Ovis aries: one gene and its partners. The protein of the gene in region 5 binds, or shares a complex with, the protein of the main gene of each other region. Links are inferred from orthologs where the notes say so. Each region holds a gene or a part of one and is shown on either strand. Other genes may lie near its edges.

The links.
Region 1: DRC3 (region 5) and DRC1 share a complex: the UniProt entries of both Homo sapiens proteins name them as parts of the nexin-dynein regulatory complex. The link is inferred for Ovis aries from reciprocal best matches to the Homo sapiens genes DRC3 and DRC1.
Region 2: DRC3 (region 5) and IQCD share a complex: the UniProt entries of both Homo sapiens proteins name them as parts of the nexin-dynein regulatory complex. The link is inferred for Ovis aries from reciprocal best matches to the Homo sapiens genes DRC3 and DRC10.
Region 3: DRC3 (region 5) and GAS8 share a complex: the UniProt entries of both Homo sapiens proteins name them as parts of the nexin-dynein regulatory complex. The link is inferred for Ovis aries from reciprocal best matches to the Homo sapiens genes DRC3 and DRC4.
Region 4: DRC3 (region 5) and FBXL13 share a complex: the UniProt entries of both Homo sapiens proteins name them as parts of the nexin-dynein regulatory complex. The link is inferred for Ovis aries from reciprocal best matches to the Homo sapiens genes DRC3 and FBXL13.
Region 6: DRC3 (region 5) and CCDC153 share a complex: the UniProt entries of both Homo sapiens proteins name them as parts of the nexin-dynein regulatory complex. The link is inferred for Ovis aries from reciprocal best matches to the Homo sapiens genes DRC3 and DRC12.
Region 7: DRC3 (region 5) and IQCG share a complex: the UniProt entries of both Homo sapiens proteins name them as parts of the nexin-dynein regulatory complex. The link is inferred for Ovis aries from reciprocal best matches to the Homo sapiens genes DRC3 and DRC9.

What each region holds. Positions count from the first base shown.
Region 1 is NC_056056.1:33,576,705-33,580,935, forward strand, and holds the start of DRC1 (dynein regulatory complex protein 1), read left to right. Parts: upstream 1-1,382; 5' UTR 1,383-1,447; coding exon 1,448-1,602; intron 1,603-4,203; coding exon 4,204-4,231. UniProt on the Homo sapiens protein: Component of the nexin-dynein regulatory complex (N-DRC) a key regulator of ciliary/flagellar motility which maintains the alignment and integrity of the distal axoneme and regulates microtubule sliding in motile axonemes.
Region 2 is NC_056070.1:61,298,337-61,302,790, reverse strand, and holds the start of IQCD (dynein regulatory complex protein 10), read left to right. Parts: upstream 1-1,566; 5' UTR 1,567-1,668; intron 1,669-4,454. UniProt on the Homo sapiens protein: Component of the nexin-dynein regulatory complex (N-DRC), a key regulator of ciliary/flagellar motility which maintains the alignment and integrity of the distal axoneme and regulates microtubule sliding in motile axonemes.
Region 3 is NC_056067.1:14,319,941-14,324,344, forward strand, and holds the start of GAS8 (dynein regulatory complex subunit 4), read left to right. Parts: upstream 1-1,472; 5' UTR 1,473-1,532; coding exon 1,533-1,535; intron 1,536-3,126; coding exon 3,127-3,213; intron 3,214-4,404. UniProt on the Homo sapiens protein: Component of the nexin-dynein regulatory complex (N-DRC), a key regulator of ciliary/flagellar motility which maintains the alignment and integrity of the distal axoneme and regulates microtubule sliding in motile axonemes.
Region 4 is NC_056057.1:45,627,368-45,629,973, forward strand, and holds the end of FBXL13 (F-box and leucine-rich repeat protein 13), read right to left. Parts: intron 1,039-2,606; coding exon 855-1,038; 3' UTR 661-854; downstream 1-660. UniProt on the Homo sapiens protein: Substrate-recognition component of the SCF (SKP1-CUL1-F-box protein)-type E3 ubiquitin ligase complex.
Region 5 is NC_056064.1:34,294,576-34,298,313, forward strand, and holds part of DRC3 (dynein regulatory complex subunit 3), read right to left. Parts: intron 1,167-3,738; coding exon 1,020-1,166; intron 1-1,019. UniProt on the Homo sapiens protein: Component of the nexin-dynein regulatory complex (N-DRC) a key regulator of ciliary/flagellar motility which maintains the alignment and integrity of the distal axoneme and regulates microtubule sliding in motile axonemes.
Region 6 is NC_056068.1:29,498,832-29,503,320, forward strand, and holds the start of CCDC153 (coiled-coil domain-containing protein 153), read right to left. Parts: upstream 2,841-4,489; 5' UTR 2,617-2,840; intron 2,498-2,616; 5' UTR 2,486-2,497; coding exon 2,416-2,485; exon of another isoform or gene 2,131-2,415; coding exon of another isoform or gene 2,091-2,130; intron 2,018-2,090; exon of another isoform or gene 2,013-2,017; coding exon 1,947-2,012; intron 1,578-1,946; coding exon 1,434-1,577; intron 896-1,433; coding exon 647-895; intron 1-646. UniProt on the Homo sapiens protein: Component of the nexin-dynein regulatory complex (N-DRC), a key regulator of ciliary/flagellar motility which maintains the alignment and integrity of the distal axoneme and regulates microtubule sliding in motile axonemes.
Region 7 is NC_056054.1:191,034,492-191,038,229, forward strand, and holds part of IQCG (dynein regulatory complex protein 9), read left to right. Parts: intron 1-1,400; coding exon 1,401-1,671; intron 1,672-3,738. UniProt on the Homo sapiens protein: Component of the nexin-dynein regulatory complex (N-DRC), a key regulator of ciliary/flagellar motility which maintains the alignment and integrity of the distal axoneme and regulates microtubule sliding in motile axonemes.

The DNA of each region.
Region 1 (4,231 bases), on a different chromosome or scaffold from region 5:
ACGCAGCAGCAGCAGCAGCACGGCTTATTGACAAGGGGCTTATCTTCTTTGGCCTCACTGTTGCTTGTGATTTAAGTAGGCAGGCAGTACAGCTGAGAAAACAGTAAATTGTGCCATACCCAAGGTGGCAGGGCCTGTCTGCAATTTCTTACTACCCTAGTGCCCTTTTCCGAGTTTCTCTCAGGCCAGTAGTACAAGGTTCGATCAAATGTTATCCTGCTTGTTTTCGAATGAGTCTTAATGCTACATAAGAACGCGGTGCATTTTTTGTCGCAGTGCGACAATTGACACGTACAAAACACCCAGGAAATAGTGCTTTTCAAGGGACAGTAGTCCTTCGAAAGTTTAAATGTGCTTCTGTGCTCTTAACTTTCATTCCTCCCCCCTCACTCCCTTTCCTACCTGTTTTTCTCTGCTCTCCTCTTTTTTCTGTATGTGATTGCGGGTAGTAATGGAGGGAGTGCAGCCCTACTGAAAACCGCTACATAAGACAACGGTTCCTTGTTGGATATACATTTATTGATGGCAGGGGGTTTTCACATTCTAGAGACGATAGAGGCTGAATACACAAAGTAGGAGCTCAAACACTAATGGATGATGGGAATTCCTCCGCGGCTCAGTGGTAAAGAGTCCGCCTGCCAGTGAAGGAGACAAAGGTTGGATTTCTGATCTGGGAAGATCTCACGTGCCACGGAAGAACTAAGCCTGTGTGCTGCAACTATTGAGCCTGTGCTCTGGAGCCTGGAGACTGTAACTACTGCAGCCAGGAGCGGCAACTACCAGAGCCCTTGCGCCCCAGAGCCCTTGCTCCGCAATCAGAAGCCCATGCACTGCAACAAGGAGTAGCTCCCGCTCGCGGCAGCTAGAGAAAAACGCCTGCTGCAAAGAAGACCCAGCACAGCCAAAAGTAAAGTTATACATATTAATTTTTAAAAAGAATGGATGACAAGCAGGTGGATGCAATGTACTTTAGTTCAGAATTTCTGAGTGAACCTATTATTCTACCCCCTCCATCGAGGAAAAGACAACGCTTGGATCCTCGGAGCTAGCACAGTGATTGGCATAGAGTAGACATTGAATTACATTAGCTGAATACGGTGATTTTGAGGATTATTTATTTGATGGATGAATTAATCATAGGGTAGGTAAGTGATGAATCACAACTTGGTTCAGCTCTTAAGTCTTCCGGCCTCTGTTAATACCACCTGAGCCTTAGTGGGGGATTCAATACAGTCCTCACCGTAATTGCAGCAGAGGAATAAAACCCCAAGCTGAGACAACGGCGCTAAGAACACCAGTGCGCCCGGCCTTAGGGGCTGCGCGCGCAACCACGCCAGCTGCGGGTCAGGTGACTGCATTTCCCTGGCAACAGCTTTGTTGTTAGCAACCAAACTGTAGTCCCACGGTGGTCCAGGCAGGGCTGCCCGGGGGGCGGAAGGCACCTGCCATGAATCCGCCAGGATCCCTGGGGGTCCTGGAGGAGAAGGAGGATGAACATTTAGCCACCCCAATTCTCGGACCCTCCGTACATTCTGATAATCCTCAGGAGCGGATCCAGGCCCGGCGCCTGCGCATTGCGGCGCGCCTGGAAGCTCGGAGGCGGTGAGTCAGGGTTTGGGCGCGTTCTTCCAAGGAGCGCCCGGGGTGCAGGTGACCTGGGTGCTGGAATGAGGGGGTGGCTTCTCCAGGCCGGAGCCCCTGTGGTGAGGGGCTCGCGTGCCCTACGTGTGAGCTGGTCTTGCTTCTTGATGAGATAGAAAACTTTTCTGCCAGAAGGTTCAAACAAAGTATGTGATATTAAAGCATTGAATACACTTAGCAAAGTCAAAGATGGAAACAGGAATCCCTCCAGCACGTTCACGGAGAGCCTGCTGCGCCAGGCACTGTGGGCCGTACCTGAAGATGTTGGGGCTTCATGACCGGTCCCCCGAGATCGTTCTTTCCTCCTTGCCTCCCAGCGTGCCTTCCTTCCACAAGGGGTTACAGAGCAGACCTCGGCTATCACTTCTGTTGGTTTCAGTGGCTTAACTGGTTGTGTGACACAAAACCGTTTTCCTGCAGAGTCTGAGGCTGATAACTGTACCATTCTCAGGCTGGGGTTGCCACCCTCGTCCACTCACAGACTTTGTGGCCTGTCTTAAGAAGGGGGATCGAGGGGAACTTGCGTGAACCTGTGACTGCCTGAACACCGCACTGTGTGACAGCGCTTATACCTCGTCCTGCTGGTCAGGGTCAGCTGCCTTGCCAAGATGGTGCTTCTCTTGTTGTCTGCCGGTCTTTGGACACAAGGGGCCCAGAGTGATGTGGCTGTGTTCCAACAAAAACTTAACTTAAGGACACTGAAATTTGCATTTCATATAATGTTCGTGTGTCACAGAATATTCTTCATCTTTAGATCTTTTTTTTTAAAATTGATACACTTCATATTTTAGAGCAGTTTTAGGTTCACAGAAGAATTGAGTGGAAACTACAGAGGTTTCCCATTTACCCCCTACTTCTACACATGTATGAAGCTACCCTGGTGGCTCAGATGGTAAAGAATCTAACTGCAATGTGGGAGGCCTGGATTTAATCCCTGGGTTGGGAAGATCCCTAGAGAAGGAAATGGCAACCCACTCCAGTATCCTTGCCTGGAGAATCCCATACAGAGGGGCCTGGTGGGCTACAGTCCATGGGGTCACAAAGAGTCACACCCAACTGAGTGACTAACACGCACTCTACACATGTATAACCTCCTCCACTATCAATATTCTCCACCAGAATGGTACATTGGTACAACAGTTGGATCTTGATAAATATATAATGACATGTATCTACCCATCACAGTACTGTACTGAAGAGTTTCACTGCCCTAAAAATCCCCTGCACTCTGCCTATTCGTCTTGATCTTTTCAAAAAACCATTTGAAATGTAAAAAAATCATTCTTCACTCCTGAGCCATACAAAAGCAAGTGAATCAGATTTGGCCCATCAGCCAAAGTTTGGCAGCCCTGAGATAACAGATCAGTGTGATGCTCTGTGGGATATCCAAGTGGTCCTGATCTATCTAGACTCTAGTTTGTCAGCTCAGGAGCATTGACATGGCCCTGCAAGTATGAGGACTGTATGAGTGTGTATTATCTGTTCCTCCTCGATATGAACTTCCTAATCCTTTTTCCTGACTGAGGTAGAAATAGCATATTTGGCTCAATCAGTGGCCACATTCCAGGTACCTAAGGCCACACTTATATGTTCAAGCAAGGACCTGCATGACAGCTGCAATTAGGACTGCTGCTTGCTTGAGCTTGCAGTAATTGACAATCATTTTCTTGGCTCCATCCATCCAGTTTTTGCAGGGACCTGACCAGTGAATTAAATGGTGATTTGATAGGCACCACCACTCCCACATCTGTGAGATTCCTAATTGTACTGTGTGCTCAACCACTCAGTCATGTCCAGCTCTTTGTGACCCTGTGGACTGTAGCCCACCAGGCATCTCTGTCGATGGAATTTTCCAGGCAAGAATACTGCAATGGACTGCCATTTCCTTCTCCAGGGGATCTTCTCAACCCAGGGATTGAATCCACGTCTCCTGCATTGGCAGGCAGCTTCTTTGCCACTGAGCCACCTGGGAAGTCCTTGAGATCCCTAAGGGTGATGCTAATCCCTACCGTAGCCCTGGTATACAGTATTGCTTTTTGTGCACTTGGGTGCAGTTTTGGAGTGTCCATTTGACCTTCCATATGGCTATAGCTCTTACCCACAGGCCAACAACCTAGTGTGAGAATTTCTCAACTTTCTAAGCATGTTAAGATCACCCTTGTTGCTCTTTAGGGAATGGTTTGGAGGAACAAAGATCCTACATGCCACTTGGAGTAAAAAAACTCTGCCTTTCCAATGCAGGGGAGGCAGGTTCCATGGGGAGCGAGCTAAGATCCTACATGTACTCCCTGCATTGGAAACTCAGAGTCTTAACCACTGGACCACCAAGGAAATCCTGGATTGTGTTCTTTTTAGTATTCGAATTTTTATCCCTATGGAATATATTTTTGTATATGGTGAAATATACTATGAAAATTTAAAATTAAATCCCCCAGGCCATGCACAGCTCAGCAGAAAGATTTAAAAACAAAACAAAACAAAACAAGAAGTTAGGAAAAAAAGTGAAAGGTTTTACTTCCTAGAATTTAAACTTCATTTTCTCTACATTTTTTGCCATCCCAGGGAAGCTCTTGGAGAATATTTAGACGGG
Region 2 (4,454 bases), on a different chromosome or scaffold from region 5:
TGGCTTAAACTTTTCACCACAGATACTTTCAAATATACTCAAATGTAGAGAGAATATGTAAATGAACTTCCTTGTATTGATCACTCAGCCCTGACAATTATTAACATCTTGTCCTGGCCAGTATTTATTTTGAAGGCTGGAGAGGCTATTAACCTTTTCAACTCATCAAGAAGAGCTTTCCTAATTATATCGTTGTTATTATAGTAGCTACTGGCTTTTATTTTAACTGTATAATATATGACTGTTTGCTTGTAATGAATGCATTAGTTTTGTGGCTCTCAGAGGGGGTTATCACAACAGAGACATATGTGCCTCAATATGTGAATAGTGTTGCTGTTAGGAAATTTTACTCAGCTGATGTCCCCACTTCACAATGAGGAAAGTGAGGTTTAGAGGGGTTAAATTAACCGACCTCTTGTAAGTAGACCGCTGGGAAGTAATAGAGCCCAGATTTCAACCCAGGCAGTCTCACCCTCCCTGCTTAACCATTACCCTTCCTCTCTTCCCAGACCAGTCCCCTCATCTGAATTCAAACCCATAATTTTAGAGAGGGAAAACTGAGGCTCGGGGAAGAGAAGGGACGTTACTTAAAGTCACAGTGCTTCTCCCTCTAGAGAGGACCCAGAATGGAAGGGTCACCCCTTAGGGAAAGGTCCCAGGGAAAGCCGGCAGGCCGTCCCGCGCTCCACTCGGGCAGACGGACCGGGCAAGAGTCTCTTGCAGGGTGGGTGGACTGAGGGCTCCAGGGAGATGAGCATTTGAGAGAGAAAGGGGAGCGAAGAGGCGTGCGGGATTCTACTCCACGTGTTCGACTTTGAGCCCCCTCTCCCGCCCCGGGCTTCCTCGGGCGGTCCCCACGCTGGGCCCCCTCCCCACATCAGGACTGGAGGGAGAGAAGCGCAGCAATGAACTTCCCCGCAACCCCTCTTGGCCCGACCTGCCCGCCTCCCACACCCAAATACCCAGCCGCAACCTTTCACTCCGAGCCCCCTGCCCCTTGACCTCTGCCCTCTCCTCTGACCATCCCTCACATGCCTCGAATTCTTACACGCGCCGCCCCAGCAACCCGGACCGACCGCCGGGGTCCGCACAGCACAGCACAGCCCGCCGGCGCAGCCGCCAAAGCCCCGAGCCCGGAGCTGTTGCAGCTGCAGCAGCCGCCGCAGAAACCGCCACCTCAGCCGCTGCCACCACGGCAGCTGCGCCAGCTCTCCCATCCGCCGCCTACTGTCCCCTTCGCCTGGCCGGCACCGCCCCAGTCCCCCCTTCGCCGCGCCCTATTGGCTAACTCGGGCGTCATGATGATCTCTGATTGGCCAATCCTTACGTCCTTCCCCAGTTAATACAAGCCTCCTTGCCCACCTCCCTGGGGAAGAGAGGCGGGACAAAGAAGCTCCGCCCCTTTCACGCCTATTCTCCCCGCCTTACTCGTTCAGCTTAACCCTGAGGGACGCCCGGCTCTTCCAATTGGTGGAGAGTTAGACACACCTTGTTTCTGATTGGTCAGTCCTCAGGAGGTGGACCAAACCGAGGGGAATAAGGAATCGAATGGCGAAAAGGAAAGTTAATCAGACACCGAGTCCCGCCTTCTGAGATTGATGGGTAACCTAGCAACGCAGGAACAGCTGTGGTAACCAAGGACAGAAAAACTTAAAGACCACCGAGCAGGTGAGTGATCATGTGGGGAAGGGCTGGAGATGATGGGGAGATGTTGAATGGGATCTAGTCCTCTTATCTTTTTGACACTCTGAGGAATCAGCATCCCGTCCCCCCTCCCCCCACCGCTAGCCCGTCCCCAGCTCAGGACCCTGATCTCCAGCCCCTGCCTCAGTCTGGACGTCCCTCTCGACCTTCTGCAAAGACGACTGGGCGTCCTCTTTGGTGTCTCTGCCTCTACTCTGCCCTTCCTCTTGTCCACTTCATGGTTCCACTTCCTCATCCGTAAAACGTGGATGATACTAGTCAAGTGGACTCACAGCTAAGTTAAACTACTTTCAAGTTACACATAGGTGTTGGGGGTGAGAGAGTAGTTTTATAAGTCCCCTACCATTCTGTCAACAGCTTATAAATCCCAAGGTGAGCATGCAATGAGAGTGAGTGTTTAAATTATGTACCTTTGTACCAATGTTGGCCTTTTGTGCTATAATAACTTTAGACCTTAACTTCCATCACTGTCCTTAAAATATAATTTCATTTACATACTCAAGAGAAAGGGTTTGTTGCAAGGATTAACTAAAACAAAGTAGAATAGTTGTCGCCAGGGGCTGGGGGAGTGGGAAACGGGCAGTTATTACTTAACTGGTACAGAGTTTCAATTTGGGATGATGAAAAAGTTCTGGAAGGCAGATGGTGGTGATGGTTGCATATAGATATGAATGTAACAATTTAATGCCACTGAATTTTAAATGGTTACAGTGGTAAACTTTATGTTGCCTGCATAAGTGCTCAGTTGCTTCAATCAAAGTCAGTCGCTTCAGTTGTGTCTTGACTCTGCAAACCCTTGAACAGTAGCCCGCCAAGGCTCCTCTGTCCGTAAGATTTTCCGGGCAAGAATACCTGAGTGGACTGACATTCCCTCCTCTACGGAATCTTCCCAACCCAGGACTCCAACCCGGTCTTCTGCACTGAAGGTGGATTCTTTACCCCTGAACTTATGTATATTTTAACACAGTAATAATTTTTCAAAGCAACTATAAAGCTAGACAAAACCATCTATTGCTAAATTAGCACTCTGAAAATCAGCCAAAGGCATACAACAAACTGAGAGCTTTTATTCATAAAACCACCGAACTTCAAGTTTGTTTTGTACTTACCTGGGACTTCTCTGATTTCCCCATACTCAGTTCTATCTGGCATAATAGTTCAACGAGGGCAGGTAGCCCCCTGAAAACCAAGAGCTTCACTGTCGCTGTCTGATGGGGCTCACTTGATTTGGAGGACTCTTGGCTAAAGTAGCAATCTTGGTGGGACGAGAACAGGGAACGCCAGCGGGTGTAGCAGTCCAAGGTTGTAGTTCTATTCGGCGCCAACAGTGCACTGAAAACTTGGAGTTCTGGGGAATGCGGCATCCATGCGGAACCTGATGAGCTCTGTCTTACCTTGACTGACTAGAGGTTATGCGCATGTGCAGCAGAGACCTGCTCCGGCCCAAGAGACTTAGAAATGCTTGGCCTTTGGAGCCTGGTGTAGACAGGTGTACTGAGTGCATAGGGTACTTGCCATCCAAGAATAGGAGCCTTACTGGTTCAAAGTGTGAGCACAACCCCTGACTGATTTTTGGCTGAATATTAAACTATGTGGATACATAGGTGACCCCTAGGAAGCCAAGTTTTAAAATAAAAATATGCAAAAAAAATTAAGCAGAGATATCAGTAGCTGCACACCATGGAGGAGACTGACTTGACAGATTTAGTCCAGGAAGTAAATTACCAAATGCCCAAGCAAAACAAAAACAGCAATCATTAGGAAAAAAAAATACTGTGTTGCTACCAAAAAAAATTTCCCTCTAAGATTTCCAGTGTTCAATAAAAATTGTGAGATGTGTGTAAACATACTCAGGGGAAAAATGCAGTCAATAGAAACAGTCTCTATGTGTCCCCAGATGTTGGTTTCAGCAGACAAAGACTTCAAAAAAGCTATTATAAATACGATCAAAGAACTAAAGGAAACCATGTTTAAATAACTGAAAGAAGACAAGATAACAATGACTATCAAATAGAAAATATTTAGTATCCCAGAATAGATTATGATAAATTAAGGTGTACATTATAATCCCTAAATCGACCACTAAAAAAAAAAAAAAAAAAAACACTCAAAAAATATTTTAAAAATCAATGGAATAATTAAAAGAATGGACTAAAAACATTTAACACAATAAAAAGCATTCAGTAAATAGCATGGGGACAAAAAAGAAAAGGCATGAAATGCCAGAAGCCAGTGTGAGGAATCCTGCCCGTGACAAGGTCATGAGGAAGGAAGCTGACATACGCAAGGTCGTGATCAGACTTCAGAGTTCCCCCTGGCATTTCCTGAGCATGTACCCCCCAAAACCAAAAATCTGCCAGCCTTTGTACTCTGCTTTTCCACTTTTCTGATATTCTCTGGAAAAAAGTCAATTCAGGGCTTTAGTCTTCTGCATTTGAAAGGAATGTTTCAGTTAAACCCCCTCTGATTGCTCTCTAGCTTGCCTAACAGGTTCCCCAGACCTCTTGTGAATTGCTTACAGCCCCCCAACCGTGAGAGGCACAAGGCTTAGAAGCATCTTAAAGATACAGAGCCATTTCTAAAGAGTTAAAAATTATATTGGTAGAGGGTTTTTGCTGTTGACTCAATGACTGCTGCCAGGCCTCCATATTCTTTATCTTTTAGGCACCTGGGAGGATATTAATCAATATAAACGGGATATGGAAAAAGATATATAGTAGTTCTGATGTTAGCAACACTAGACTTTTGAG
Region 3 (4,404 bases), on a different chromosome or scaffold from region 5:
GGCCTCCCTGAACTCTTCATCTCGGCAGTGCACACTGATAAACCATGCTGTGCTGTTCATTTGTGACAAACGAATACCCTGTCTTGTTATCCTGAGCTAACCCTCCTATTCTTGCCCTTTTTGTTGAAAGGAATTATTGTTAATGCATTCGTTTAATTCAGGACTCCCAGCCAGAATTCTAAAGCAAAAAGCCAGTCAGCATGAGGCACCTAGCATAGTAAGTGCTAAATAATAATCATTAGCACTCTGTCCTACCAGGCTGCACTGTCTTACTTGCCAGAACCCCTGTGGGAGGAGCCTACCTTAGGGGAGAAGACCCCTATCAGACCAGACGTGTCTGACACAGGCTCAGGCTCTTGTCAGCCCAGGCACAGAGACACCATCAGACCTCCCAGAGGCCCTGGGACTGCTATAAATGTCACTCTTTGTGCAAGTCGGTTGATACAGTCCCTCCAAAGGGCCATTCCTCTCCAGGAACAATTAAGTCTTGGGTGGGCAAAGAGGAAACCCCCAGGCTCTTTTTTGTGGCTCTCTTCCCTGACCTGAGCCTTTCTCCACTATTCACACTCTGTGCCCAAGGCAGTTCTCCAGGGAGAGAAGATTCCTCTCCATTCCCAAACTGACAGAAAAGCTTGACCTGCCGCAAAACCACTATTTCATAAGATGCTAATGTTGAGTGTGGAAAACAAGACAACAAATGGTGTTGTTTTGGGTATAGGTAGCTGGATGGTAAGAGGGATCAGAAATTCTCTCTGCAATTTGTAAAGCAGTTAGCAGTTTTCAGAGCAAGAGGTTAGAGGGAAGAAAACCCCTGAAGACTTTTTTTCCCTGCAGAGCTCGTCTGGAAGCCCGTAGCAAAGGTTTCTAGTTTTTCCTCACCAGGAGGACAAAGTCTCTTTAGGAAGAGCAGTTAGTTTTTGTGAAGGGGAGACTTGTTGATTTCAAAACTGTGGACCCCGCTGGAATATAATTTTCTCGCCTTACTTTTGCTTCCTCTGAGGCTTTGTGGAAATCCAGCTGTCTTCCAGCCTCAGGTGGGAGGAATCGTCAAAGGGGGGCAGGGTGAGGTGAGGCCCCAGAGCAGAGGTTCCGCGAGAATTTGAATCTAATTTGGGTAAAGTCGCGGTGTGGCCGCCTCCCCTCGCTCACTCTTTGAGTTCATGCACTGTAGGTCTTGTACCCACGTAGAGTACGTAACAAGTGGACGGAAACCGTTCCTCCAACCTCCGTGGAGCTTAACTTTTAGTGGGGAAGACCCGCAGTAAACAAGACCTGTCCCGAAAGGAATGCGTTCCCAGGTATCTTGGAGAGGTAGCTTGTGGATAATGTCCAGCTTCGGCCCAAATCTACAGACTCCGCCTGGTTAGTTGCTAAGGACTCCCGCCGTTGCGAGGCACCGGCCCTGCCTGCGGGGTATCGCGATGGTTCTCGAGACTTCGCGCGGGATCGTGCAGTCGTTGCCTGGAGACGGCGCATCCTGGGAAGGCCGGGCACTTTGGTTTGTTGGTCCACGCAGGCGGGAAACCACAACCATGGTGAGGCGGTCTCATAGGGTCCGCGCCGGAGCCCTAGGGCTCAGGGGTCGGCTGGCCTTGGGCGCTGGGAGTCCCCGGGACGGGAGATCTGGAGCTTTGGGGTCTTGGAGCTGCGGGCTTGGTGCTCTAGGGGGTGGGGGGCGGGGTGTCCTCGCAGACGCGGCTTCCCCGTGGAGCTGAGAGACTTGGTCTCTCCAGAATCTTGTACACACCCGGGTGGTGGTCAGAGAGCACCGTCTCTCCCGCCCCCAGACCTAGGGACTGGTGTGCACGTGTCCGGACCGGAAAACCTGGGTCGAGTGGCTACCCTACCTGGAATGGAAGGCTCATTGATCAGATCCTTGGGAAACAGAGGTCCTCCAGCCTCTGGGATCGGGAACCTGGGGTATACCATGGTGGCCAGAGGGTCCTGACAGCGGTTCCAGCGCACGTAAAGTCCCCAGGGCAGAGCTTGGGCAAACCTGAGAGGAGTCAGGCGGGAACTGAGCAGAGTGGAGCTTGCTGCCTCTGGGCTTCTCAGTCCCCACCCCTCTGTGGTAGGGCTCTCAGCTGCTCACTCCCCCCTGTGCTGTATGGGCTGTAGGTCACCCAGTTTCCAGGCAGGTGTGGCAGGGTGGCCATCAGTGCGGGGACCCCTCTGTGTGTGGGGGCCCCAGGGGCTCTAGAGGCCCCAACCACTGCCTTACTCCCAGATGCTGAGTAAGCTCCTGGGCTCTTCTGATGGGTTGGACTTCTTGGAGTAGAGGGTTAGAAAGAGGGCAGTGTTTTAGGAGTGAAGATTTCAGCGGTTCTGTCTTTTGCAAGTCAGCTGGGAAAAGATCACCAAAATACATCTACTTTCACTAACTTGAGGGAAATATGCATGATTTTCCTTTTTTTTTTTTTTTGTTACTATGCTTTCTAACATTTCCTCATAAACTTTTTTGGTAATAAAAATGTTACAGAGACGTGCAGATGCATGCCTCTTTATAGACAAAAGCATGAGCCACAGAAACTTGTGAGAAGTGAGGGCAGAGGATAAGGCGTTAGTTTTCTTTCTGTTGAGTGGCCCCTGGAGACGCAGTGGGGCAGAAGGTCCCCTCTGGCACCGTGGAGAAGTGGTTAAAAGCAGGCGTCACCGCACTGACAGAGCCCACAGTGTGTGAGTGCCAGTCTGTGCCAGCAGTCTTCACCCCCGGTCTCTGAGGCACCCACCTTGCGCCCATGGAGCGATATATTGCAGGTTTCTCTCTGGCACTTGCCAAGCACTATAGTCTGTGCTGCTGGGGATACTCCTTTGTGAGGCCGAGTAGCTTTTGCTCCACACCAAGGAAGTCTCTGCTGTATACAAGGAACATGTTCTCCCTCTTCCTTTCTGAGGGGAAGCAATATTCTCTTCTGAGAAGGGAGATTTCTCTTTGCTGTCCACAGAATATGCCTGTGGTTAAGGATGGGAAACCTTAGGGCAGAGTGAGGCGGCCCGGGTGGAAGCCTGAGACAGTGGGCAGTCAGATAGAGGTTCCAGGCAGAAATTCCTCTCCCGAATGGCCCTGAAAGGGAATGAACCAGCCAGAAGTGAACCCTAACCCGACCATGTATTCTTCAATCCAAGGCGCCCAAAAAGAAAGGGAAGAAAGGCAAAGGCAAAGGCACTCCGATTGTTGATGGGCTGGCTCCGGAGGACATGAGCAAGGAGCAGGTGAGCGGGCTGGCTGGGCCACGGCCCCTTGCTGGGGCAGGTGGGATGGGTTTGCTGCCCCACGCTGGTCCTAGGAAGTTCTTTTAGACTGCAGCACCCCGGCTCCTTGTCTGCTTCCCCTCAGTCTGGCTCCTGCCGTCTGCCCACACCAGGACATGTGAAACAATGCAGCACGTGTGATGGGTAAACTTTCCGCTAGGGTAGTAGGAACTTGGAAGGAAATGTTTTTCTGATATAAAGCTATTTTAAGTTTTCTTTCATTCTTACCCTTTTTAGGCCCCTACTGTTTACGGAGATGTTAATCATAGTATATACACTTACAGCATTCTCATTTATTTGATTTACCATTAAACACTGTGAGTTATTTTAGGCCGCATGTTCATTTCGATGACATTAAGAGCTAGGGAACATGATTTGATTAATTACAGTTTCAATTGAAAGGCTCCCAAAACCTATAACTTGCGCAACCCATGAGAGCAGATGTGGTCTGGAAGTGTTCATGACCCTTACTTACTTTTGATGGTTTTAAGATAAAAGAAATCAAGGGAGATTCAACAAGGCATAAGACCTGAAGATGGAGAGCTGGGCAGAGGCCCTTGAAAGTGGTGAACAGGCTCTCTTTCTCACACAGGGAAGCCATCGGCAGTCTGTAGAGGGTAATGAGGTCAGGCTGTGCTTCGAGGGGGTCACTGGGGATGCCTCATGGAGGTTGGCTTACCCGCTGTGTCACCCCAACAATCAGACTGTTTCCTGCCTACAGGTTTACTTCCTGTCCTGTGACACGGCAGGGGTCAGTCTGCAGAGCTTGGAGGCTCTCGGGGTCCAGGCAGTAGTAAGATGAGAGATTCAGGCCAGCTGTGGTCAGATCTGAATTTGGCAATAAGGAGTTCATGATCTGAGCCACAGTCAGCTGCCAGTGTTGTTTTTGCTGACTGTATAGAGCTTTTCCGTCTTTGACTTCCAAGAATATAATCACTCTGATTTCGGTGATGGCCATCTGGTGATGTCCATGTGTAGAGTCTTCTCTTGTGTTGTTGGAACAGGGTGTTTGCTATGACCAGTGCGTTCTTTTGGCAAAACTCTATTAGCCTTTGCCCTGCTTCATTCTGTACTCCAAGGCCAAATTTGCCTGGTACTCCAGGTGTTTCTTGACTTCCTAGTTTTGCATTCCAGTCCCCTATAATGAAAAGG
Region 4 (2,606 bases), on a different chromosome or scaffold from region 5:
GTACACCTGTGGTGGATTCATGTCAATGTATGTCAAAACCAATACAGTATTGTAAAGTAAAATAAAGTAAAAATAAAAATTAAAAATTAAAAAATAAAATTTTAAATAAAAATTTAAGATTATTAAAAAAAAGAAAATAATCCAAAAAGAATATATATGTATGTGCATGCATGTATATAACCGAATCACTGTACTATACACCTGAACTAGCACAGCATTGTAAATCAGCTATACTTCAATAAAAAAAGATCTTTCTGAGACATTGTAGGGACAGTGCAAATTTGACTAAAAGGGACTGTTTCTTTTTAATTTGCCTCTGACTGTTAAGTCAAATGTTGAAATGAGTCCTAGGTTAATTGGCATTTAGATCTCTCTTGTTAAGTGTCTAGAAATTATTAGAAAGCTTTGTTTGTTTTTAAAATGTATATCTATATCATTTATAATAAAGCCTTACAGATCCTTAATGTCGTTGCTCTCACTCAAAACCCTTACTATTTTATATAGCCTTCTGCTTTCTTTTCTAAGGAGACGCTTGTAAATTTCTTGTCAAAAACATCACATCTGTCAGGATTGTTTTGTATACAACTGTAACCTAGATTTGATAATCTCATCAAAACAATTTGATTAAGGTAAATTTACGTAGAAAAGTTACATAGTAGCAATACTTGATTTGGCTTTTTTTAATCGTGGTTGTTAGAAGAACTCATAGATGTATTTACAAACACATAGCTGGAATAAAAATCTGGAAATGATTTCCAGCTTGTTTACATTGATCAGGTCCAGCTAGTAAAAAATACTTGCATTAAATGAAGTTGCCAGATTCTAGATTTTTGGTTCTTGCTTGAGGTTGAAGGTCATACTGCTTCCTCTTCATTACTGTATGTTGACTCTTTCATGGTCAATTCTGAATCTTTAAGTGATGTATTTTGTTGCTCTGTAAGAGACTTGCCTTCAGAATCATAGCCAAACCAAAGTGGAGGGTTAGAAGCGCTATATTCCTGGTGCTGAACTAAAGATGACATTCTTAAAGCTGCCTCCCTGTAATAACAGTGATGAGCATTAGCTAGTTGAAAAAGTAATTGCTAGTGCAGAATTTTCAAATTAGACCACATTTGGAGTTAAAGAACTCACTGTCACAACTCAAATTCACATCTCTTTGCCTTCCTGAGGGGGAGGGTGTGGGTAAATTGTGCTAATAATCAGGATCCCAAAGCTTCAGTAGCTCAGTAGTTCTCTGGTTCAATCAGTTCAAAGATTAACAGACACTGAAATGGGTAAGGAAATAGCATGGCCAAGGCGTGGAAACACTGAGGGCATTCTGTAGCTAGCACTCCTAAGTGAGCTCTCTGCTTGTTATTTGAGTTTCTTTGATGGAAGTATCCTAAGTAGGCAACCCGTGAAAGTTAGCTGTGCACCAGAGCAGGAGCTCCTAACCTAGAGTCCACAGATCCCTGTTGGATATGCAGATGAACTTCAGGAAGGACTCAGGGATTCCTTGAAAATTCATGCAGTTTTGTATCTACTATGCTTTTTTTTTTTTTTTTTTTTTTTTGAGGAGAGGGTTTGTGACTTTCATTAACGTCTCAAAGGTGTCCATGACCAAAATGATTAAAAATATGTGTTTCTTAGAAGGAAGCAAAGAAATCATCAGAAAGTTATTTGGAACCCCAGTTCCAACATGGGGTGGTGGTGTTCCCCACACCACTTAACAGTTCTAAGATACCAGCTGGCCATCCTATAATTCAGCCCAATTCTAACACTATATATCCAGGTATAGCATTAGATTCTGCAAGTTAAGGGCTCAGACCCACGGAAAACCTTCCAGATGTGTTTGTTACCTGGGCTTCTGATCTACCACCTAGAGCTGCTGACAGAAAACAGAGACATTTACTTACTGAATCACTGGTTCATTAAAGGATATTACTCAAGAACAACCAGGTATCAGAGCTGCATGGGGCAAGATATGGGGAAAGGATACCAATCTTCATTGCTTTCTACAGGCATACCACTCGCCCCAAATCTATGCATTCAGCAACCTGGAAGATCTTCAACCCTTTAGGGTTTTTATGGAGGCTTCATTATGTAGGCATGATTGATTAAATCATTGGCCATTGGTGACTGAGTCAACCTCCAGGCCCTCACTTCTCCCCAGAAATCAGAGGGTGATTTTTGAAATCATCCTGAAAATGTTTCACTCCTCTATTCAGGGTTGATTCCCTTGGCAACCAGCCCTCATCCTTAGGTGCTTTCCAGAAGTCACCTCCTTAACATAAACTCAGTTGTAGTAGAAAGGAACTTGTTATGAATAACAAGACACCCATATTTCACCTTGTGGCTCTGAATCAGTTTCAGAAACTGAAGATGAGAGACCAAATACTATGATAAAAGATTCTTCCATTGCTCTTATCACTCAGGAAATTCCAAAGATTTTGGGAGCTGTGAGCCAAAAACCATGGAGGAAGACCAAATATATATATAAAAGATAAATTTTGATCCTCTGAATGACCAAATATATATATCCTATAAAGCACAATATTTCAACATCAGAAAAAATAGTATATCTAACTTGAAAATAATGTCATTTCCAGGAGAGAAGGATTTTCCTG
Region 5 (3,738 bases):
CCTGGACAAGAGAAGGGCATGGTTGGGGAAGGAGGGGCAACTCTCTGACCCCCCTGGTATCTGTGGACCCCCAGTCTCTGTGGACCCCCTGGGTCTCTGTGGACCCCCTGGATCTTTGTGGATCCCCACTGGTCTCTGTGGACACCCCCAGAAAGGTTCCTGCGAGCAGAGGGCTCCATACTTGGAAGGTGGTGCAGCAGCCAGGCCAGCAGGGTCAGCATGGAGACCTGGGGACCAGCCAGCTCTCCCGGTGCCCCCACGTCACCTTAGGGCCTCCCCCCATGCCAGACACAGGCTCCTTCCTCCCAGGAAAGGCAGCAGCTTCTCATTGGAGGGTGGCAAGTCCCCCACCTCCTCATACCCTGCTTTCATCCCGTCCTGCTGCCAGAGGCCTTCCCTGTCGGGCGGGGTTTTTTCCCCTGGGGGCAAAGCACCCACAAACTGGTCACAGGGTAAAGGGTAAAAAGCTCCCAGCAAGGGTATAGGACAGAGGCAGGGGTGTAGGACAGAGGCGGGGGTGGCCTGGCCAGGCAGTGGACAGGGGCAGGGCCTTCCACCTGGGGTGAGGCTCCCTCAGGCCAGAGACCCTGGCTCTGCTGCAGTTGAGCCCAGCTCTCTGCTGGCCACCTCGGCTGTGGGGTCCTGGGGGCATCCCTCTGGGGTCAGCGAGGTTGGCACTTTGGGGTGCTACCATGACCTGTCAGTGTCACTCCTGGGGTTGCCTGTTGTGGGGGTGAGTCCTGACTTTGCCCTGAGCTGCTGAGCCCACTGAGGGCCAACTCTCACTCAGTCTCCCAGACTTGTCCACGGAGAAGCAGACAGAGCAGGACAGCAGCAAGGAGGCGGGAGGAGGCCCAGGACAGGGCCCAGCCAAGAACGTGCACCACAGTGACAGGGGCCGTTAGGGTCAGGAGCCTCCAGGAGGGGCTGCTTTCCTCTCCTCCCGTGGACGTGGCCCTCCCCAGATGCCCAGGGCCTGGACGCTGACCCACAGAGCCCACATTGAAGGGAGACGCTACCATGTGGTCGTCGAGGCGCCGGAAGTCCAGGTACACGAGGTCAGGGAGGTAGGCGCAGATGAACATCTTGTAGTCCTCGTCCTCGGCCACCGGGTTCCCGGACAGGCTGAGCGTGCGCAGGGCCTTGAACCGCCGCAAGTAGATGACCTGAGGGGAAGGCGGGCCTGTGTGCTTTCTCCGCCCTCTGCCCACACCGGGAAGCCACGAGGATGAGGAGCCGTGGTCTTTGCCAGGGCCAGTGGATGGGGTCCCACGCTCACTGGGGACCCAGTCTCCCCATCTGTGAAGGGGCCGCAGGGGTGTCACACGCAGGTGTTGAGAGGACCCAACGCTGCGAGGAGCGCCAAGAAGAGGGCTGGCACCTGCTCCCCAAGCGCCCGCTGTCCCTCCACCCTCCACTCTCAGCACAGGCACCCTTTCCACCCGTCCGTGCTCTGAAAGGCCCTGTGCCCTGAAATTCAGCAAAACCTGAATCTACTGGGTGGCAGCTGGTGGGACCACCACTAACAACCATTTACTTTTCCTGTTGTTAGTAACGAGGGACATTCAGCAAGACCACCAGCCCCTCATCTGTTGCATCTCCTCCCCTGTGTGAAAGACAGAAGAGAAACCTGCTTCTCTTCCTTCCTGAAGGGATTTCCTTGTCAGTTGTTTATTTGTTCAGCAAACATCACTGAGCACCTGCCAGCCTGGGGACAGAGTGGGAACAGAGCCCTCAGAGCAGGAGCTGACACTCTAAGGGCAGGGGACAGGAATGCTTCAAAAAAGTCAGCAGAGGGACTTCCCTAGGGGCACCACAGATAAGAATCTGCCTGTCAATGCAGGGGACACAGGTTCCATCCCTGGCCCCAGAAGATCCCACCAAGCAGCGGAGCCCCCGCGCACCAAGGCCACTGGGCCCACATGCCTAGATCCCGTGCTCTGCAACAAGAGAAGCCACAACAATAAGAAGCCAGCACGCCGCATCTGGAGAGCAGGCCCGCCTCCTCCGTCTCCGCAACTGGAGGAAGCCTGAGGAAAGCAGTAAAGACCCAGAACAGCCAAAAATAAATGCTTTTTAAAAGTCAGAGACGTTGCTGTTGGTCATAAGCGCTCGAAGAACTCGAGGGGGTAGGTAGGGAGGGAGCCTTAGGGACAATGATAGGGGTGGGGTTCTGTTAGGATTTGAGCCTCTGAACTCTGAGGAAGCAGCAGGAAGAGCAGTGGCGAGTGTACTCCCAGGAGCAAAACCAGCACAAACGAAGGCCACGCCATGGGAAACGGCGTGACCAGTGCCAGTAAGCAGGGAGGGGCCAGGAGATCTGAGAAGATACTGAGAACAAGGCCAGCCCTGATTCATCTGAGACCTGGTGGGCGGCGGTCAGGAGTCTGAAAGCTGTCTTAGGGAAATGGGAGCTGTTGGAGTTTTCAGGGTATGTGGGGTGGGGCGGGGGGTCAGGACCTGATTTCATTTTAAGAGCTCTCCCAGTGGGATTCCAGTTTTTGTCTTTGGGATCATCAAAGCAAGAAAGGTCTGGGAGCAAAGTGTGCTGTGGGTGGTTAGAGGGACAGGACTTCTTGTCATTGCTGCTGGGTCTGTAGGTGGTTCCACTTCTGTAGATGGCCATGCAGCAAGACCCATCACAATGAGAAAATGCCCTCGGACCCAGCAACTCCACCTGGAGGAATTCATCTCCCACAGGGGCTCATCCAGGTGCACAGTCAGCCTCTATCAAAGACATCCCCAACAGCCTGTGTATGACGGCATGAGGTTGGAGAACACCTCAGTGTCCACCCATGGGGGCTGGAGAACTCCATCCTGCAGGATCTAAGCAATGGAATGTCCTGTGGTGTGTAGAGGACACCGATGACTTGCGGGGGGTGGGGGGGCGGGGATGACCCAAGACAGGCTCTGGAGAGTAGCCAGACAGGTGTGACAATCGTGTGAAACATTTAGACAGTAAGATGCCCGGAAAGACACATGTGCGATTTAGGAGCAGTTGCGGCCTCTGGCAGGGGACACAGGGGCAGAGGTCAAGGGCGAGGGGCTCTGCTCTGCGTGCCCTGAGTTCTGCTGAGTCAGCCACTTGCTTTTAATTCAGTGAACAAAATGAAAACAAGCCTAATAAATATATAACAGGAAAGTCTATAATCAGATATAAGAAACTCAGGGCAGGCAAGGACTGAAACCAGAGATGCTCTGGGCTTGTCGGCCATGAAGCCAGCGCCCCCTGCCTGTCTCTCTGGGGACCAGCTGCACCTGCTTCTCCTGTCTTCATGGGGTGGGGGGTGCGTGCCTGGCACCCAGCACGCCCTGGGGAAATGGGGACAAAAGAACAGCCCAGGCCAGGGAGGGAGGTGGGTGTTCACAGCAGGGTGGGGCACAGCCTGAGTCGGTTTCCCCTCCCTGCCCAGGCCTGGATCTGCTCAGGGCCAGGGCTAGTGTCTGAGGATGACAAGTCAGAGGCAGTCCACTCACATACAGGCTCCCAGGTGCTGGACCTACCCAGGCAGCAGCAGCTCTAAACACTCAGAAAGTTTCCCACAAGCATGATTTGGGGCTATTTGGGGTTTACCCTTAACTGAAAATTCCTGAATAAGCACCATTTCCTCCATAGCCCCTCTGCGCCCTGTCCTGCTGCAGCTGCTCTACATGGACAGACTTGACCCTCACGATGGCCTGTGGGGTGGACTGCTATTTGTCCTCAGGAACAGATGGGCACTGAGCCCTGGATGCTGA
Region 6 (4,489 bases), on a different chromosome or scaffold from region 5:
TAGCAAATAGTTATTCAGGACCTACCACACATTAGGTCTTGAAGATACGGAGGTAAGTAATTCAAACAGTTATATTCAAGCTTGCTTTCATTCTAAACATCAGCCAAACTAAGAGAGACTGTGTTTTGCTCGTGAGAGACATGTGGGCAGTGGGGAGTAAGAACTGTCTTTAGAGAGACCATTGAGAGAGGGAGGTGCAGTGAGAAAGTTAGGGCTTCTTCATTTATAACTAAAAGGTTAAGATTGGGTATTTTTTGCTATCCTGAACCTTCTGTTGCAAGTAGTAGAAGAGTCAGTGGGGGAAGACAGTATGAGAGCTTAAATTGCAGTTTTCTAAAGAAAGACCATTCTAACTCCACCCCTTCAGGCTGGACTACATCAGTGTGATCCTCTGAGAGAAAGTGCTGTGAGGGCAGGGTGTGCTGTGTGTGCGTGCTAACTCGGTTAGTGCTTGACTCTTTGTGACCCCATGGAATGGGGCTATCCAGGCTCCTCTGCCCATGGGATTCTTCAGGCAAGATTACAGAGTGAGTTGCCATGCCCTCCTCCAAGGGATCTTCCCGACCCAGGGATGGAGCCCACATCTTTTAAGTCTCCTGCATTGGCGGGCGGGTTCTTTACCACTAGGGCCACCTGGGAAGCCTACCTAACTGCTCCTGCAGGCCCTTCACTTCTTCCTCCAGCTTCCTGGTGCGACTCTGCATCGCCTCCTGCAGGCTCCGGCACTGACGACTCATCTCTGGCAGAGCCGTGGGTGGCCAGGGACCCAGATGGGGAGAGAGCAGTGGAGAAAGGACAGAAGTTGTGGGTGGGGAGGGCTCTGCTTGGTCCAGTGGACAAGTGCATAAAGGTCTGTTGAGGGCCTTCCCTGGCAGTCCAGTGGTTAAGACTTCACCTACCAATGCAGGGGACGCGGATTTGATCCCTGATCTGGAAGCTAAGATCCCATATTCCTCAGAGCCAAAAAACCAAAGCATAAAACAGAAGCAATATTGTAACAAATCCAATAAAGACTTTAAAAATGGTCCACATTAAAAAAAAAAAAATCTTAAAAAAAAAAAGTCTTCTGGATTCTTGTGGTGATCTGAGAAGGTAGGGACAGAGCTAGGAAATAAGACACCCATCCGCTATGGTAGCTCAGTATGTGAATTCAGGCCCTCCTTCCCACCCACTCCCACGGGAGGAGTGAGATAAAGGCTAGGGCTGCGTTTCATAGTCCACGGGACATCAAGCACAAAGCACTGCATGTCACGGAAGGTTCCTGCCCAAGACCACAGAAGGCCCCCTCAGGATTCCTGTGGGTGCAGGGAGGGCTGAGGCTAGGTATGGCGGTTCGAAGTCCTCCTTGTCTCCCTTTCTAGCATCCTTGGGCCCTCCCAGTTGTCCTCTTCCGGGCCCCTGTCTCCCGCCCACCTGCTCGATCAACCTCACACCTGCATATATGGCCTTCCCTTCGCTCCGGGCCCCCTCCAGTTCAGCCTCCAGGTCTTTGATCCTCTGCTTCAGCTGGTCTTCCGAAGCCTTGGCTCGGCGGGCTTCATCCCTCTGCAGAGCTGTGAACAGTCCAGAGCAGCCCTCTGCACTGGTTGGGGGCTCCACTCAATCAATCAGCCCCCATGGCCTTGATGGACTCTGTCCACCTTCAGAAACCTGGCGGCAGCCTGCCAGTCTCTCATCGTCATTCTGTTTCCCTTCCCCGCCTCAGAATCCTACAGACTCTGTTACTAAGAGGGAAAAACTCCCTCTGTGTTCCAGCTATAAAAGTTAGCTTTCTTTATCAACCCTCACGGCCCACCCTGTCCTCATGACCCCAGCTCTTGACAATCTTTTCCCATTAGGGGATGGTTAGAGATCAGCTCAGCCCTCCACCATTGTTCCAAAACTTTAAGCTCCCAGGGATACACAAATGCCCACTGTCTCTGTTGCCGAACTTCTACCCTTCTTACCCAAGCGGTCTTGGAGCACCTCCTTTTCCAGCAGTGCCAGCCTGTGCATGGATTCAGCCTCCACATCTGCCCTGGCAAGACAGCAGACCCTCAGCTTGTCAGGATCTCAGCCTTCCCTACCCTCCTCCCACCCTCCTCCCATACCCTGGACTTCTCTTTTTTTTGTGGGAGATACAAGGACCATTAAATGAGGGATCTCTGATAGCAAAGCCTAATGAGTTCACTACCCAGCTCACAGTAGGTATTTGAAAGATTGTAATGAATATACAAGGAAGGCACACAGCCAGAAGGGATTCATGGGTGCTGATTTTCCCATGTTCCCAGCTCCATGGCACCCGAATATGGATATAAAGGGGGAAGGCCAAGACAGCTCCATCTTGTCACGCAGAGGGATGAATTCTCTCTGGAGGTCTCTGAGCCAGAACAAGGAGAGGCTGGGAGGCACCCACCTCCACCCAGTCTGACTCACCAGCACCTGCATTTCTTTTCTTCTTCTGGGCCCCAGCTTTTGTCCCTTTTTCTTTGGTCTTAGGTGGCATCTCCTTCCTGTCCTGGAGGGAGGGAGGGGGCTCATATTTAGGTCTGGACATGGAGACACTCTCCTGACTCCCTAGACGGAACCAGGAGTCCCAGGAGAATTAGTGCTCTCATCTCCAAGTCTGTCTCTTACACTTTCCAGAAGCTTCAGTTCTTGGTTTCCTTGGAAACTTAGGCAAGGCTGGGGCCAGGGGGAAGGATGAACCCATTTCTCTCTACCAGTCAAGCTCTAAGTACAGAAATCATTCCTCTCAACCCTCTTTCAGAGAAAATAAAGCTCAGTACCTGGCCCCTTCTCTCTTCCCATCATCCTTACCCTGCCTCTTCCTTCCTCCAAGACCCTCACTTGTCTCTGTTGTATCTCCCTGTGGCGTGACCCACTTTCCAGGAGGGGCAGAGAAAAGGCCCAACCAGCTAGGAGCCGGAGGAGGAGATTGTGTTCTGGGACCCAATCCAGAGTGGCAAATTTCATTTGGGGGTGGGACTGAGAACTGGAAGGTTGGGCTTCTGGAGGCTGCACGTTGTCCAGGCAACTGGGAAACATGGAGCTGTTAGGAAGGTACATGCATGCTTGCTCAGTCGTTATAATTGTGTCTGGTAGAAGGGGCTAAATACAATGCTTAAAATACCAAGGTCTCAGAGGGCCAATACTCTTCTTGTCCCCAGATCCTAAGTGTAGTTTGAGGAGAGAGGGCTTTGGAACTGATTAAATATGATTCACTTCTATGTAGCACTGCCTGCAATTTGGACACTTACAAATTATAGATTTACACATCCAAAATAATGCTATTGCGCTGATACAGAGGAAAAGAACTCACGGTAGCCATTTGGGGTGATTTACATTTCCCAAAGTCTCATCAACAAAATGACATTATTAAATAGGCTTAAAATTGAAGATTTCAGGAAGGTATTCTACGGTGAATGAGGGAAAGAAATTCAGGAGATGGTGGTTGAGAGAGTTTCCTATTTCAGATAAATGAGACACAGAGGAGAGTTCGACCTAGGACCTCAAGGTGCTGTGCTAAGTCACCTCAGTCGTGTTCGACTCTTGCAACCTCTTGTGACCCCATGGACTGTAGCCCTCCAGGCTCCTCTGTCCATTGGATTCTCCAGATAAGAATACTGGAGTGGGTTGCGATGCCCTTCTATCCTGACATAGATGCAAATCAAGAAGAAAGGGTACTGGTTAGAGACAGGAGCTTTTGAGTTCTCATCCTTACCCTTCTCCAGATATGTAAATTTGGGTAAGTCATTTTCCTTGCTCAGCCTCAGTTTCCTAAATCTTTGATTTTGTAAATCTTGAAAGGCTTGGATTTTCACCAGGTATTTACAGGACTATCTTCTTTTATGGTGACTTAATATATTTCCTCTTTCTCCCTATTCCTGTCTGTGGTTGATTTTCAGACAGGTGCTGAGAAAATAACCAGCTTGGTTCCCTGTGGCATTGAGTTGATTTGGGCTCCCTCTAGTGGATTTTCTTGACCTTCTAGTAAGTCTCCTGAATTTTTCTATTTAAATTATTTATGGAGCAATGTTGGGGGCACCCCTCATTTAGGGGTGCTGCCTAGCATCTTGCTGGAGTCACGAATAGTTGGAAAAATAAATCTGGGGAAGGGAGAACGCTGAGTGGCTTGCCCTGGTTAGCTGTTCCCTCCCCGAAACCCCTCTCTCCAGCCTTTTGCTATTGGGAGCCTTTGCTGTCTGTCTGCCACCCAGATTTGTGAACACCAAAGTGGCTAAAATGAAAACAGCAGAAACTTCAGGGCTTTCCCCCTTGTGGATTTAGGGAACTGCAGACTCTTTCTTTAGATATTTCTCTGTCTTCCTCAACAGTTTTGGTCAATTGCCTGTTATCAAGAACAGATCTGAAGAAACAGCCATGAGATCTTGGGGGCCAGGGGTGCGGTGGGGGTCATAAATCCTTCTTCTAGGTGGTAGCAGATTCAGGCAGAGCCTGAGGATATTTATTTGTCACCTTCACAGGTGCAGGATACCTCTCTGACCCC
Region 7 (3,738 bases), on a different chromosome or scaffold from region 5:
GGCAAGCTGCCAAGCACTATGATTCAGAGACTATACAGTGCGCAGGCGCAGGGCGAGATAACCTTTACCTTGGCTTATTTACTGCAGCTAAGACTTTGTTTTGGGAACTTCCTTATCAACTTAGAATCCGTTTTGTCCCAAGGTCTGTTCCTTTTGAGGAATCAGAGAAACATCCTTGTGTGCAAGCAATGTTCTTTTCCCATGGGAACAAATAGGATTTTTAGCTGAACATCTCATTTGCAAGAATGCTCAGCCCTGGTTGACAGTCTCGTTAGCAAGCACTTCTCAATCTTCCTTAAACCTAGTTCCCTACACTGGGCAGAACATCTCGTTTGCAAAAATGTCCAGCCCTGGTTGAGAGTCTCGTTTGCAAGCACTTCTCAACCTTCTTTAAACCTAGTTCCCTACAGATTCTCCAGGCAAGAATACTGAAGTGGGGTGCCATTTCCTTTTCCAGGGGATCTTCCCTACCCAGGGATCGAACCAGCACCTCTTATGTCTCCTGCATTGGCAGGTGGGTTCTTTACCACAGGAGTCACCTGGGAAGCTAATCAAGGGAAAGTGAAAATGAAAAGTAGCCCAGTCCTGTCTGACTCTGCAACCCCATGGACTATACAGTTCATGGAATTCTCCAGGCCAGAATACTGGAGTGGGTAGCCTTTCCCTTCTCCAGGGGACCTTCCCAAATCAGGGACAGAACCCAGGTCTCCCACATTGCAGGTGGATTCTTTAGTAACTAAGTTATCAGGGAAGCCCAATCAATTCATCTTGCCAAATCACCAGAGGCAAGATGAAAGGGACAAGAGAAGCTCATCAAGATTAGAAGACCCACCACCTAAAATGAGATTAAGGAAGTGCAAGCTCTGCCCACACTCTAATCTTGTTAGAGACCCCACATTTGACCCTCATCAAATTCTCTAGGGTTGGGACTCTTGGTTTTTTGAGACAGAACATGGTTTTAGGTTCCTCTTTGCCTGGTAGAGCAATAAAGCTAGCTATCCTTTTCTCCACCCCAAACTCTGTCTCCAGGATTTGATTTGGCACCCGGTGTACAGAGAGGCTCAGCTTTCAGTTAACATAACCATGAGACAATTTTGGTTAGCATCTGAAAATGTTGCTAGAAAAAAAGTGTATTTGGCTCAAGTTCAAATTGGTTGAGCATAGTCAAATAGCAGAGGGTCCACATCTTTAATAAACAGTGAGTTGCTTTTCTCTGGGAAGTCGGAATGTTACTGGGGGTTATTAAGCAGAATCATCTGCAAAGTACTTCCATTCATTCTCTTGAGTATATGGCAAAATGGACTTTACAGGAACCCATCTACATGCTGCCTGTGTTTTTGGATTTAAGTGATTTTAAACATCTGATGGTTGACTTATTTTTTCCTTCCTTCTTTCTTTAGAGGTCAACTGGAAGCCTCAAATCTTCCTCCAGAAGATTGGCCTTCTGAAGTGACGGTGTCAGTGACAGGAGAACCACCTAATACTTCTGTAGAAGAAAAGGAAGAAACAGATAAAGAAGCAGTCATAGAAATCAGCCCAGAAATCATGAAGCCGCTATCCATTCTAGACGTGCTGAGGATCTCTGCAGTTCTGGAGGACACCACAGACCAGCTCTCCATTCTAAACTATATCATGCCAGTTCAGTATGAAAAAAGACAAAGCATCAGCATGGTATATATATTCACCATTACTTAATTTTTGCTTTCTCTTTATTTCTCCATCATTTGCAGTACCTATGCCATTCAATTCAACTTGGGCAATAGCACCTTCTAGTCAGGTAAAGGGCTACAGTAATTATCTAAGATATGTACTCTCAGCTAATGGAGTGAAATAGACATAGTTCACGGTACATCTCACAAAATATCCTTTTCTCCTGATATGTTGGCGTTATTCTAAAAAGTCCATAGATAAGTCAGTATAAATACAATATATATACTGAGGAGATAAATAATTGTGTTTTCTTGTCTTGTATTGGTATTTGTCAGCTGGCAACCCACCCCAGTATTCTTGCCTAGAGAATCCCCATGGACAGAGGAGCCTGGCGGGCTATAGTTCATGGGGTTGCAAAGAGTTGGACTGAGCGATTAAGCACAACAGCACAAAAGCTAACTGAACACCAGGGGGAGGAAATTCAACTGGACCCTGTCAACATTTCTTTTATCTAAAATGACTTTGTCATTGCGAAATATGTTGCAGTCTGCTTTTCTCAATATCCAGCTGCATTATTGCACTAGCCATTACATTTTCCATGATGTTATGGATTCCTCCCTCAAAGCACCACTGAGTTATCAAAAAACTCAACTTGATAGTGAGCAAAATCTTTCATAAATTCTTAAGCCCTTAAACCAGAAACAATTTTTAAGTACAAATTTTATTACATTTTATTTTAAGTACATATTTATTAAGTTTAACACAATTATATAATTTGTACAGATTATATCTGATTCTGTGATAAATGCAACTTGCTATAAAAATGAGAGGGTAAATTAATTTTCATGTCTAATAGAAAAGAAGCCCATATTTACTGTGACTAGAAAATTAAATTTCCTTCTAATTGCCCCTTACAATTTTATAATTATTATTATTATTATTACTACTGCTATATGTATAAACGGGATTCACAAAACTTTTATTAGGGTTTTAAAAGTGGATTTGAAGTTACAGGATCATTATGGTTGAATTGTGCAATAAGCAATTCATTTCACTTTCTCAGTCTTAGTTTTCTCATTTATGAATTGTGGTGGAGTTTTAACTAAATGAGCCCTTCTAATACTAACATTCTATGAGTTTTAGGGTGATTTTAAAACATTAATGGGTATTATAGGAATTTTGCAACAAATTAGTTTCCTTATTAATTTATGAAAAGCAAAGACATCTGGAAACCCAAGAACTAAACCTTTCAGTGCACTTAAAATTAGTCTAATTCTTAAATTGTTTGTTAACAGATAGTACAGAAGAGACACTAACCTCACTAAATATCTTCAGTTAACAAGATAAAGTTTTCTCAATGATATTTACGTCAGGCTTTAAAAAGGGTACTTTTCCATCATAGAAACTCAAGAGAGAAAGAAAAACACAAATTTATAAACAACATTCAGTAGTGGTCACCATTCCAGTACATAAAAGAACAAAACTTCTCCAGTTTTAATCTGGTTTATGATCTTCACCCACAAAATTTTCTGACATGACAGAGAGAGGCCCTCCTTATGATTTTATAGAAATATAAACAGTAAAGGTTTATACTCTTATTCTGATTAATAGAGCTTAAAAGCCCCTTTCAGAATATGTTAGTTATATAACTTTTACGAATGTGACTCTTTAAAATAATTTTTCATTTTATAGTATTATAGTTGTTCTAACTCATAAATTTTTACAGTACCATTGCCCTGCATAAGATAAATATTTAAAAACCTTATGGTACTGATGTGGATGTTTTCCTTCTTTAAAAGCTTCACATTGTTGAGCTTTACAGTAACAACACTGGGATGAAAATTTAGTTAGCATTGTCCCTCTTCCACAACCATTTTTATAGCTAAAGAATCATGGAATGGAATTATGAAAAACACACTAATGTACTAAGTTCTACCAGAAGTAGGAGTAATTGATCTGAACTTTGGAAAGAGCTCCCTTGCAGGGAATACTGTTCTTATTTTTTCCCTTAGAATCTAACACCCTCCCGTACAAGGAGGTGAATGGACCAGAATATTTAGCTAGTTCCTTCAAGTTCTCTTCTAAAAA